2 linked regions of the Macaca mulatta genome follow. Each later gene encodes a partner of the first gene's protein in a complex. Links are inferred from orthologs where the notes say so. Each region holds a gene or a part of one and is shown in the gene's direction. Other genes may lie near its edges.

Region 1 (4,979 bases):
CTTTATTGGCCCCGTCCCCGTGTCTCACATTTCTTTTTTTTTTTTTTTGAGACGGAGTCTCGCTCTCACCCAGGCTGGAGTGCAGTGGCCGGATCTGGGACTACAGGTGCCCGCCACCACACTTGGCTAATTTTTTATTATTTTTAGTAGAGACGGGGTTTCACCATGTTAGCCGGATGGTCTTGATCTCCTGACCTCGTGATCCGCCCGTCTTGGCCTCCCAGAGTGCTGGGATTACAGGCTTGAGCCACCGCCCCTGGCCTCACATTTCTTTTTCTTCTGCCTGCCCCATTCCTCTGCCAGGGTCTCCGTCTCTCCACCGGGGGCTTCATCCTTCCAGGGAGAAGAGGGACTCCAGAATGGCTGAGGAGAAGAAGCTGAAGCTTAGCAACACCGTGCTGCCCTCGGAGTCCATGAAGGTGGTGGCTGAATCCATGGGCATCGCCCAGATTCAGGAGGAGACCTGCCAGCTGCTGACGGATGAGGTCAGCTACCGCATCAAAGAGATTGCACAGGTGACCCAGCCCTTCTGTCCAGCTCCACGTTGGGTCCAGGATGTCGCCCGGGGCCCCGTCCTTAGGATTTTGGGCTGATGTCTATTCTGTCACCCACCCCAGGATGCCTTGAAGTTCATGCACATGGGGAAGCGGCAGAAGCTCACCACCAGTGACATTGACTATGCCTTGAAGCTAAAGAATGTCGAGGTGATTTGGGGAGACAGGCAGGGGGCGGGTGATGGGGACAGGGCGATGGGGTTGGGGTGAGGCGCCATCCTTCAGCCAGGTCTCCTCCGGCTCCTTTCTCACATGTGCCCCTCTCTCCTGCCACAGCCACTCTATGGCTTCCACGCCCAGGAGTTCATTCCTTTCCGCTTCGCCTCTGGTGGGGGCCGGGAGCTTTACTTCTACGAGGAGAAGGAGGTTGATCTGAGCGACATCATCAATACCCCTCTGCCCCGGGTGCCCCTGGACGTCTGCCTCAAAGGTTGGGGGAGGGGAGAGCAGGGTGGCAGGGAGGAGGGAAAAGAGGACAGATGCGTGTGGGTGTGAGTAGCCTCACAATAGAAGAAAAGCTCAGCGTGAGATCCCTGGTGAGTTGCAAGGGGAGCAGGAGTGGAAACATGCATGGAACAACTCCCCAGTGTCCATGCGCGGCAATTCACCTTGACACCTGCCTTCCTTGCAGCTCATTGGCTGAGCATCGAGGGCTGCCAGCCAGCTATCCCCGAGAACCCACCCCCAGGTAACCTCCATGCCCCACCCTCTGGATCTCTGGGTCCCTTTCCCCCTCCTTCCACCTTTTTTTTTTGATGGAGTCTCACTCTGTTGCCTGTGCTGGAGTGCAGGAGTGCTGGACTGCAGTGGCACAATCTCGGCTCACTGCAACCTCTGCCTCCTGGGTTCACGCGATTGTTGTGCTTCAGCCTCCTGAGTAGCTAGAGCTACAGGCACACACCACCACGCCCAGCTAATTTTTTGTAATTTTAGTAGAGATGAGGTTTCACCATGTTGGCCAGGCTGGTCTCGAACTTCTGACCTGAGGTGATCCACCCGCCCTGGCCTCCCAAAGTGCTGGGATTACAGGCGTGAGCCACCGCATCCAGCCTCCTCCCTTTACTTTTCCTGCTACTCTCGTCACGCCTCCCACTGTGCCTGCTTTCCCACCAGCTCCCAAAGAGCAACAGAAGGCCGAAGCCACAGAACCCCTGAAGTCAGCCAAGCCAGGCCAAGAGGAAGACGGACCCCTGAAGGGCAAAGGTCAAGGGGCCACCGCAGCTGACGGCAAAGGTCAGTCCTCCTAGGCCAGGCCTCTCTGGACTCTTGCCCAAAGCCACGTGGCCATTTGTTTTGTATCCTTTTTTTGTTTTTGAGACAGAGTTTCACTCTGTCACCCAGGCCAGAGTGTAGTGGCACAATCTCAGCTCACTGCAGCCTCAGCCTCCTGAGTAGCTGGGATTACAGGTGCCCACCACCACACCCAGCTAATTTTTGTAGTTTTTTTTAGTAGAGATAGGGTTTTGCTATGTAGGCCAGGTTGGTCTCAAACTCACCCTCATGTGATCCGCCTGCCTTGGCCTCCCAAAGTGCTGGGATTACAGGTGTGAGCCACCATGCCAAGCCTCCATGTGGCCATTGGTGAAGTGGCTGAGGTCAGGGCCAGAGAGCCCCAGAAAGGATGGGGAAGCCTAAGAAGAAGCTGGGTCTCCTGAGTCTCAGGGGAAGTGGAGGGTTAAGGTTCTTCTGTTACTGAGGTTTCTTCTGGAGCTTTCTTTGTCAGACCCACCTATCCAATCACACAGGGAAAGAGAAGAAGGCACCGCCCTTGCTGGAGGGGGCCCCCTTGCGACTGAAGCCCCGGAGCATCCATGAGTTGTCTGTGGAGCAACAGCTCTACTACAAGGAGATCACCGAGGCCTGTGTGGGCTCCTGCGAGGCCAAGAGGGCGGTGAGGGCCCCACCAGCCTGCCCTGGCCCTGAGACTCCTCCTCCTGGGGGTCCTATGAATTGCTCCCCACATCCTACCCCCACCTGACTGGCTTCCCTCCTCCCACAGGAAGCCCTGCAAAGCATTGCCACGGACCCCGGGCTGTATCAGATGCTGCCACGGTTCAGTACCTTCATCTCGGAGGGGGTGAGAGCATGAGGTTCCACTGTGCAGGGACGGCAGCGGAAGCTCCTGTGAGGGTCTCCCTGCCCCATGCCCAGCACTCCTCCCTCCCGCAGGTCCGTGTGAATGTGGTTCAGAACAACCTGGCCCTACTCATCTACCTGATGCGTATGGTGAAGGCGCTGATGGACAACCCCACGCTCTATCTAGAAAAATACGTGAGTGGTCCTGCCCACCTTCCCTTCCAGGGACCAGGGACCCTGCTGCCACCAACAGGAAGTCAGTGGTCAGCGGTGGCTCACACTTGAAATCCCAGCAACTTTGGGAGGCCGAGATGGGAGGATCGCTTGAGCTCAGCAGTTTGAGGACAACCTGAGGATAGTAGTAGGACTACTGTCTCTACAAAAAAAGATAACAAAAACAAAATTAGCCAGGCATGGTGGTGCATACCTGTGGTCCCAGCTACCTGGGAAGCTGAGATGGGAGGATTGCTTGAGCCTGGATGATTGAGGCTGCAGTGAGCCATGATTGTGCCCCTGCACACCAGCCTGGGTGACAGAGTGAGACTTTGTTTCAAACAAACAAAACCAGAATCAGCTGCCCCGCCCTTTCTCCCTTAGGTCCATGAGCTGATTCCGGCTGTGATGACCTGCATCGTGAGCAGACAGCTGTGCCTGCGACCAGATGTGGACAATCACTGGGCACTTCGAGACTTTGCTGCCCGCCTGGTGGCCCAGATCTGCAAGCATTTTAGCACAACCACTAACAACATCCAGTCCCGAATCACCAAGACCTTCACCAAGGTGAGCCAGGGAAACTTGAGCACCATTGGTTTCATCACTGGCCACCTCTGGTTGGGGGAAGTGACACTGGAAACAAGGGCAGAGGGAAGAGGGACTGGAACTTGTGGGGCTCTAAGGGCCTTGAGGCTTGTCTGTAATGCCTTTTTTTTTTTTTTTTTGAGATGGAGTCTCACTCTTGCCCAGGCTGGAGTGCAGTGGTGCGATCTCTGCTCACTGCACCCTCTGCCTCCTGGGTTCAAGCAATTCTCCTGCCTCAGCCTCCTGAGTACTTGGGATTACAGGTGCCTGCAGCCATAATTGGCTAATTTATTTATTTATTTATTTTTTGAGACGGAGTTTTGCTCTTGTTGTCCAGGCTGGAGTGCAATGATGCGATCTCGGCCCACTGCAACCTCCGCCTCCTGGGTTCCAACGATTCTCTTGCCTCAGCCTCCTGAGTAGCTGGGATTACAGGCATGTGCCACCACACCCAGCTAATTTTGTATTTTTAGTAGAGACGGGGTTTCTCCATGTTGGTCAGGCTGGTCTAGAACTCCCGACCTCAGGTGATCTGCCTGCCTCGGCCTCCCAAAGTGCCAGGATTACAGGTGTGAGCCACTGTGCCTGGCCACAACTGGCTAATTTTTGTGTTTTTAGTAGAGACAGGGTTTTACCATGTTAACTAGGCTGGTCTCGAACTCCTGACCTCAGGTGATCTGCCTGCCTCAGCTTCCCAAAGTGCTGGGATTACAGGCGTGAGCCACCGCGCCTGGCCTCACTGTCATGTCTTAATGATTTACAAGGAAAGTGTCTATGAAAGACGTGGGTCCCTATCAATCATCCTTTCAGACCCCTTCATCTTAGTTTATTTCCTTCCCCTTACAGAGCTGGGTGGACGAGAAGACGCCCTGGACGACTCGTTATGGCTCCATCGCAGGCTTGGCTGAGCTGGGACACGATGTTAGGCCTCTGGGAGGAAGAAATGGGGGAGGGGACGCAGTCATGAGGTTATAGAGGGCACTGTGCCCCCACCTGGGAGACCCTGGTGACCCTCCGGCTTTGGTTTCTTCCTTTCCCTTCCAACAGGTTATCAAGACTCTGATTCTGCCCCGGCTACAGCAGGAAGGGGAGCGGATCCGCAGTGTGCTGGACGGCCCTGTGTTGAGCAACATTGACCGGATTGGAGCAGACCATGTGCAGAGCCTTCTGCTGGTAACCGAAGCCCCTGTCCCTGCACCTGCGCCCCCGACCCCCCGAGAGACAGCCGGCGTTTAGCAAGCATATGGCGTATTTTATTCACCTACTCCCATCTTTGCCTCCTGTTTTCAGAACATACTGCAAAGTCTGATACTATTTTACAGATGAAAGACTGAGACTCAAGCTGAGTAAAAAATAAGGGGGCTGGCTGGGCGTGGTGGCTCACGCCTGTAATCCCAGCACTCTGGGAGCCTAGGAGGCCAGCCTGGGCAATGTAGCGAGACCCCGCCTACGAAAAACAAACAGCTGGGAGTGGTGACATGTGCCTGTGGTCCCAGCTGCTAGGGAGGCCAAGGTGGGAAGACTGCTTGAACCCAGAAGTTCAAGGCTGCA
Region 2 (5,079 bases), on another chromosome or scaffold:
GTCTTAAAAAAGATGTATAGGCGTTCAACAACAAAAAGTGGTATGCCAGACCCTAAAAAGAATGGAGAGCAGTGGCAAAGAAATAAGGCTAGGAATACAGCTTGGAGCCCAATGTTCATGAGGACTTGAATCTGAGAATTTGGATTGGGTGGCAGTGTAGAGGGTGGATTGGGAAGGTGGTAGGATGAGGATTAGGAAGATATAAAGACAGGGCAGGATGCTGCACCAATCTGGGCACCTTTCCTAATTTCTGCTGGCAGATACTGTGGCTCACACTGGCCTGTCACAGCTTTTTTTTTTTTTGAGATGGAGTCTCGCTCTGTAGCCCAGGCTGGAGTGCAGTGGCCGGATCTCAGCTCACTGCAAGCTCCGCCTCCCGGGTTTATGCCATTCTCCTGCCTCAGCCTCCCGAGTAGCTGGGATTACAGGCGCCCACCACCTCGCCCGGCTAGTTTTTTTTAATGTATTTTTAGTAGAGACGGGGTTTCACCGTGTTCGCCAGGATGGTCTCAATCTCCTGACCTTGTGATCCGCCCGTCTCGGCCTCCCAAAGTGCTGGGATTACAGGCTTGAGCCACCGCGCCCGGCCCACAGCTCTTTATACATTTTTTGGTGTGTTTGTGGGTTCTTCTCCATTTTACTGTGAACCTTACAGATGCTGGAACTGGGTCTGACTTGCATACCTAACATTCCAGCATACAGTAAAAAATAACAGTTCTCTCTTTTTTTTTTTGAGACAGAGTCTCGCTCTGTCACCCAGGCCGGAGTGCAGTGGCGCGATCTCGGCTCACTGCAACCTCCGCCCCTCCAGGTTTAAGCAGTTCTCTGCTTCAACCTCCGGAGTAGCGATTACAGACGCGTGCCACCACGCCCGGCTAATTGTTTTGTATTTTTAGTAGAGACGGGGTTTCACCATCTTGGCAAGGCTGGTCTTGAACTCCTGACCTCGTGATCCACCCGCCTCGGCCTCCCAAAGTGCTGGGATCACAGGCGTGAGCCACATAAAAGCAATTCTCACCAAGCATTTGACAGCAAAAAACTGTCCTGTAGAGAATGCTACAGGACAGGCTTTGGCTTAGTAGTGAGGTCTGAGTTCAAGCTGAGGCTCTGCACTTATTAGCTAGAATTTTGCTTAATCTCTCACAGGTCTCCTCTAACTGATTAAATGGCGTAACGGAGGTAAGCGGATTAGCACAATTCCTGGCAAACAGTCAGCAGTCAATTGTTATTACTGAATTGCCAGTTCACAGGCACAACCAACCGATCTGTCTCATCTCCCGGTTCCTGTGTTGCCAACTTCCTCGTTGAGGTTCAACAGGATACCTGTGGGGTAATGTGTCCCAGATGATATCCTGGTCCTGACACCATGACAAAGGCACCAACCAAAAATGGCGACCTCAAAGCCATCCGAGGGCGTCAATTACCCGTCATGCTACCGATGGATAAATAAGCAGAGTCGGGAAGAAAAGCTAGTGAAGGATTCTTAACGCCGGGGTGGAATACGCAGAGCTCGCTCATGCTGCCACTCAACTACAAGCAGTTAAAAGCGCAAGCTGCAGGCTACAGCTACACACAGCTCAAGATCGCCACCACGTGTCGGAGGGCAGTCTGCGCCTGCGCAAGCGAGGCGCGCGCCCGCCGGCCGGAAGAGCCGCGCGTTTCCGGGTTGGAGGCGGGGAGCGGTGCCGGAAGTAGTCGGGGAGGGCCGCGCAGTCGGACCGGCTGCTGAGACGAACGCTTCTCTGGGGCAGTCTCCGCATATCATGGGGAGATAGACGCTGCTGCCTGTGAGTCTTGGGCCCTGGCAGTTGAGGAACAAGAGCGGGAGGAGGGAGTCAGGACCCAGATCTACAGTAGGTCAGTGTTCGAAGGACCAGGTTGTGGACGAGACGGGGCTGTGAGGATTCAGGCTCTTGGGAAGGGACTGACAGAGGATCAGGCTCGGAGAAGACGCGGCTGTGGGGACCTGGGCTCCAAGACGGGACTTAGGGAACGGGGACGGATCTGAGTTCTCCGGCATCTGAGGGAAAGTGGTCTGAGAGGAGCAGGATTATGAGGACCCGCACTCCTACGAGGAGAGGGTCGGAAAGGAACGGGGTGTGAAGACACGGGCTCCGGAGAGGTAAAAGTGGAGCGGTGAGGACTTGGGCTTCTAAGAGGCAGAAGCGGGACAGTGAAGACCCGGCCTCCTAAGGATTCAGAAACGGGGCAGCGAAGACTCAGGTTCCTGAGGGGCAGAAGCAGACAGAGAAAACTTGAGTTTGGAAGGGAACAGAAGCGGGCAGTGAAGACTGGGGCTTCTTTGGGGACGGGATCCGGGCTTTGAGACTCCGAGTACCTGAGTCTCAGAACAGGGCGGTGAGGACCCAAGCTCCTAAAAGCCTTGGATCTAAGGGACCATGGATGTGAGATCAGCCTAGAAAGTAAAGGGAAAGGGTTTGGAAAAGATTTAGTGATCCATTTTTTTTTCCACAGTATTCCCTGAACCCAGAGAGATAAAGGACGTATTCAGGGGAAGACAACTTCTCCTTCGCACTGCCTGCTTGGCTCTTGGCAGGCTTTTCTTGTGTTAGATACTCAATCTAGGAAGCCCACATGCAAACATCTTCATTTTCTGCTTCATTCTTGGGAATCAGATGTGAAGTTGAAAACAGTTGGAACTCAGTTATATACTTGATAAGTGCTTTAAATCCCATTCCACTCAACCCTGAATGAGCACAGATCTCTGCATCTCAAGTAAAAGAATGTCAGTGATGGAAGAGTCCCAAAAGATCATCTTTTAAAAACTCCTATTTTACATTTAAGGAGGCTAAGGTTCAAAGAGGTTTAGGATTACAGTGAGGCAATGGTTAGATCATAATTTTAATACAGTACCCTTCTGTGCGTAGCAAATGAGATGCTTGGTTAATGTTCCTTAAATGCTTCCAGAATCTTTGCTTTATCTTCAAACTCAGGAGGGAATTTTTTTTTTTTTTTTTTTTTTTTTTTTTTTTTTTTTGAGACAGGTTCTCTCTCTGTTGCCCAGGCTGAAGTGCAGTGGCTCAATCTTGGCACCATGCACGTCAACCTCCTAGGCTCAAGCAATCTTCCCACCTATATATACCTCCTGAGTAGCTGGAACTACAGGCATGTGCCTCCACACCCTGCTAATTTTTAAATTTTTTGTAGAAACAGGATCTCACTATGTTGCCCAGGCTGGTCTCAAACTCCTAGGCTCAAGTGATCCTCCCACCTTGGTCTCCCAGAGTGCTGGGATTGCAGGCATGAGTCACTTCCCCCCGCTTCCAGTTTTCTTTTTTTGAGACAGAGTCACCCAGGCTGGCGTGCAGTGGCACGATCTCAGCTCACTGCAATCTCTGCTTCCCCGGTTCAAACGATTCTCCTGCCTCAGCCTCTCAAGTAGCTGGAATTACAGGTGTGTGCTACAATGCCCAGCTAATTTTTGTATTTTTAGTAGAGACAGGGTTTTACCATGTTGGCCAGGCTGGTTTCGAACTCCTGACCTAAAGTGATCTGCCCACCTCAGCCTCCCGAAGTGCTGGGATTATAGACATGAGCCACCACGCCTGGCCCAGTTTTTATTTCCAGTAAAAACTGGAAATTTTTACAGTTTCTGATACTTTGAGTGTTATTACTGCATTGACATTGATACAGTAAATGTCACTTAATAGTAAGGAAACCTTTATTTTTATTTTTATATTTTTGAGACAGGGTCTTGTTTTGTTGCCCATATTGGAGTGCAGTGGCATCATCATAGCTCACTGCAACCTATATTCTTGAGCTCAAGCACTCCTCCTGCCTCAGCCTCCTGGGTAGCTGGGACTACAGGTATGAGCCACTACACCCAGCTAATTTTTAAGTTTTTTTGTAGAGACGGTGTTTGGCTGTGTTGCCTAGGCTGGTGTTGAATTCTTGTCCTCAAGTGATTCTCCCACCTTGATATCCCAGAATGTTGGGATTATAGGCATGAGCCACTGCACCTGGCTGGAACCTTTAAATAAAGCTCAGTGTTATTTATTTATTTATTTAATAAGCTGTTTGGAAAGCCATAAATAAGTGTGTCCTGCATTTTTAGTGCAAACATTTACTAGGGATGGCTGCTTTTGGATAAGAATGGTGGGGAGACTTGCACCAGTCACTTACTTCAATATTAGTATCTTTTTCTGAAACCTACTCAGACTAACCAGGCACAGCTTAGGTACTTTCGAGTATTCTATGATTTAATTATCACAGCCCCACAAGTTAGATATTGTCAGTCTCGTTGTACAGATAATGAAATAGGTTTAGAGAGGTTAAATACTTTGCCTGAAATCACACAGTACTGAGTGACCCAACCCCAGTTACGCGTGCCTCTAAAACTTTTTTCTTCTCTTCTAAGTGGATTCCTCTGTCTCAGTTTGTCCATCAGCAAAATAGAAGTAATCGTTATACAAAACATATAATTGAATGAAAGCATTCCCTCCTTCTTAAGGCTCCTCTAAATGTCAAGGACTATAACTTATTAGGGTACTTACGTATTGTGGCATTTGAGGAGAGCTAAATTCTGTTTTCACAGAAGCATAGATTATTTAAGATAGAAAAATGGGAACTTTGTAGAGCTTTTAATTGCAATGTAGAAAGACATATTTAATTTTAGATTTAGGAGGCCAAGAAGGACTAATTTGGACTGGGCATAATGGCTCATACCTGTAATCCCAGCACTTTAGGAGGCCAAGGCGGGCAGGTCACCTGAGGTCAGGAGTTCGAGACCAGCCTGGCCAACATGGCAAAACCCCGTCTCTACTAAAAATACAAAGATTAGCTGGGCACGGTGGCGCATCCCTGTGATCCCAGCTACTCTGGAGGCTGGGGTGGGAGAGAATCACTTGAACCCTAGAGGTGGAGGTTCCAGTGAGCCGAGATTGTGTCACTATACTCCAGCCTGGACGACAGAATGAGACTCCGTCTAGAAAGAAAAAAAAAGTAATTTGAAAAACAAGGGCTTAAATTGGATTAATTTTCCAGTTAATTATATCATGAACTAGATGTTTGGGGGAATTGGGCTTAGTTAAAACTACTATTTTTTCCCCCAGAGTCTAC

The links. Proteins that work in one complex are often made in the same cells at the same time.
Region 2: TAF6 (region 1) and TAF12 share a complex: the UniProt entries of both Homo sapiens proteins name them as parts of the TFIID basal transcription factor complex. The link is inferred for Macaca mulatta from reciprocal best matches to the Homo sapiens genes TAF6 and TAF12.

The regions. Positions count from the first base shown.
Region 1 is NC_133408.1:47,417,595-47,422,573, reverse strand, and holds part of TAF6 (transcription initiation factor TFIID subunit 6), read left to right. Parts: exon of another isoform or gene 1-19; intron 20-247; exon of another isoform or gene 248-298; coding exon of another isoform or gene 299-303; coding exon 304-515; intron 516-617; coding exon 618-704; intron 705-830; coding exon 831-984; intron 985-1,185; coding exon 1,186-1,242; intron 1,243-1,667; coding exon 1,668-1,787; intron 1,788-2,299; coding exon 2,300-2,445; intron 2,446-2,553; coding exon 2,554-2,631; intron 2,632-2,723; coding exon 2,724-2,825; intron 2,826-3,227; coding exon 3,228-3,410; intron 3,411-4,274; coding exon 4,275-4,349; intron 4,350-4,475; coding exon 4,476-4,601; coding exon of another isoform or gene 4,602-4,658; intron 4,659-4,979. UniProt on the Homo sapiens protein: The TFIID basal transcription factor complex plays a major role in the initiation of RNA polymerase II (Pol II)-dependent transcription.
Region 2 is NC_133406.1:212,257,530-212,262,608, forward strand, and holds the start of TAF12 (transcription initiation factor TFIID subunit 12), read left to right. Parts: upstream 1-1,693; 5' UTR 1,694-3,508; intron 3,509-5,079. UniProt on the Homo sapiens protein: The TFIID basal transcription factor complex plays a major role in the initiation of RNA polymerase II (Pol II)-dependent transcription.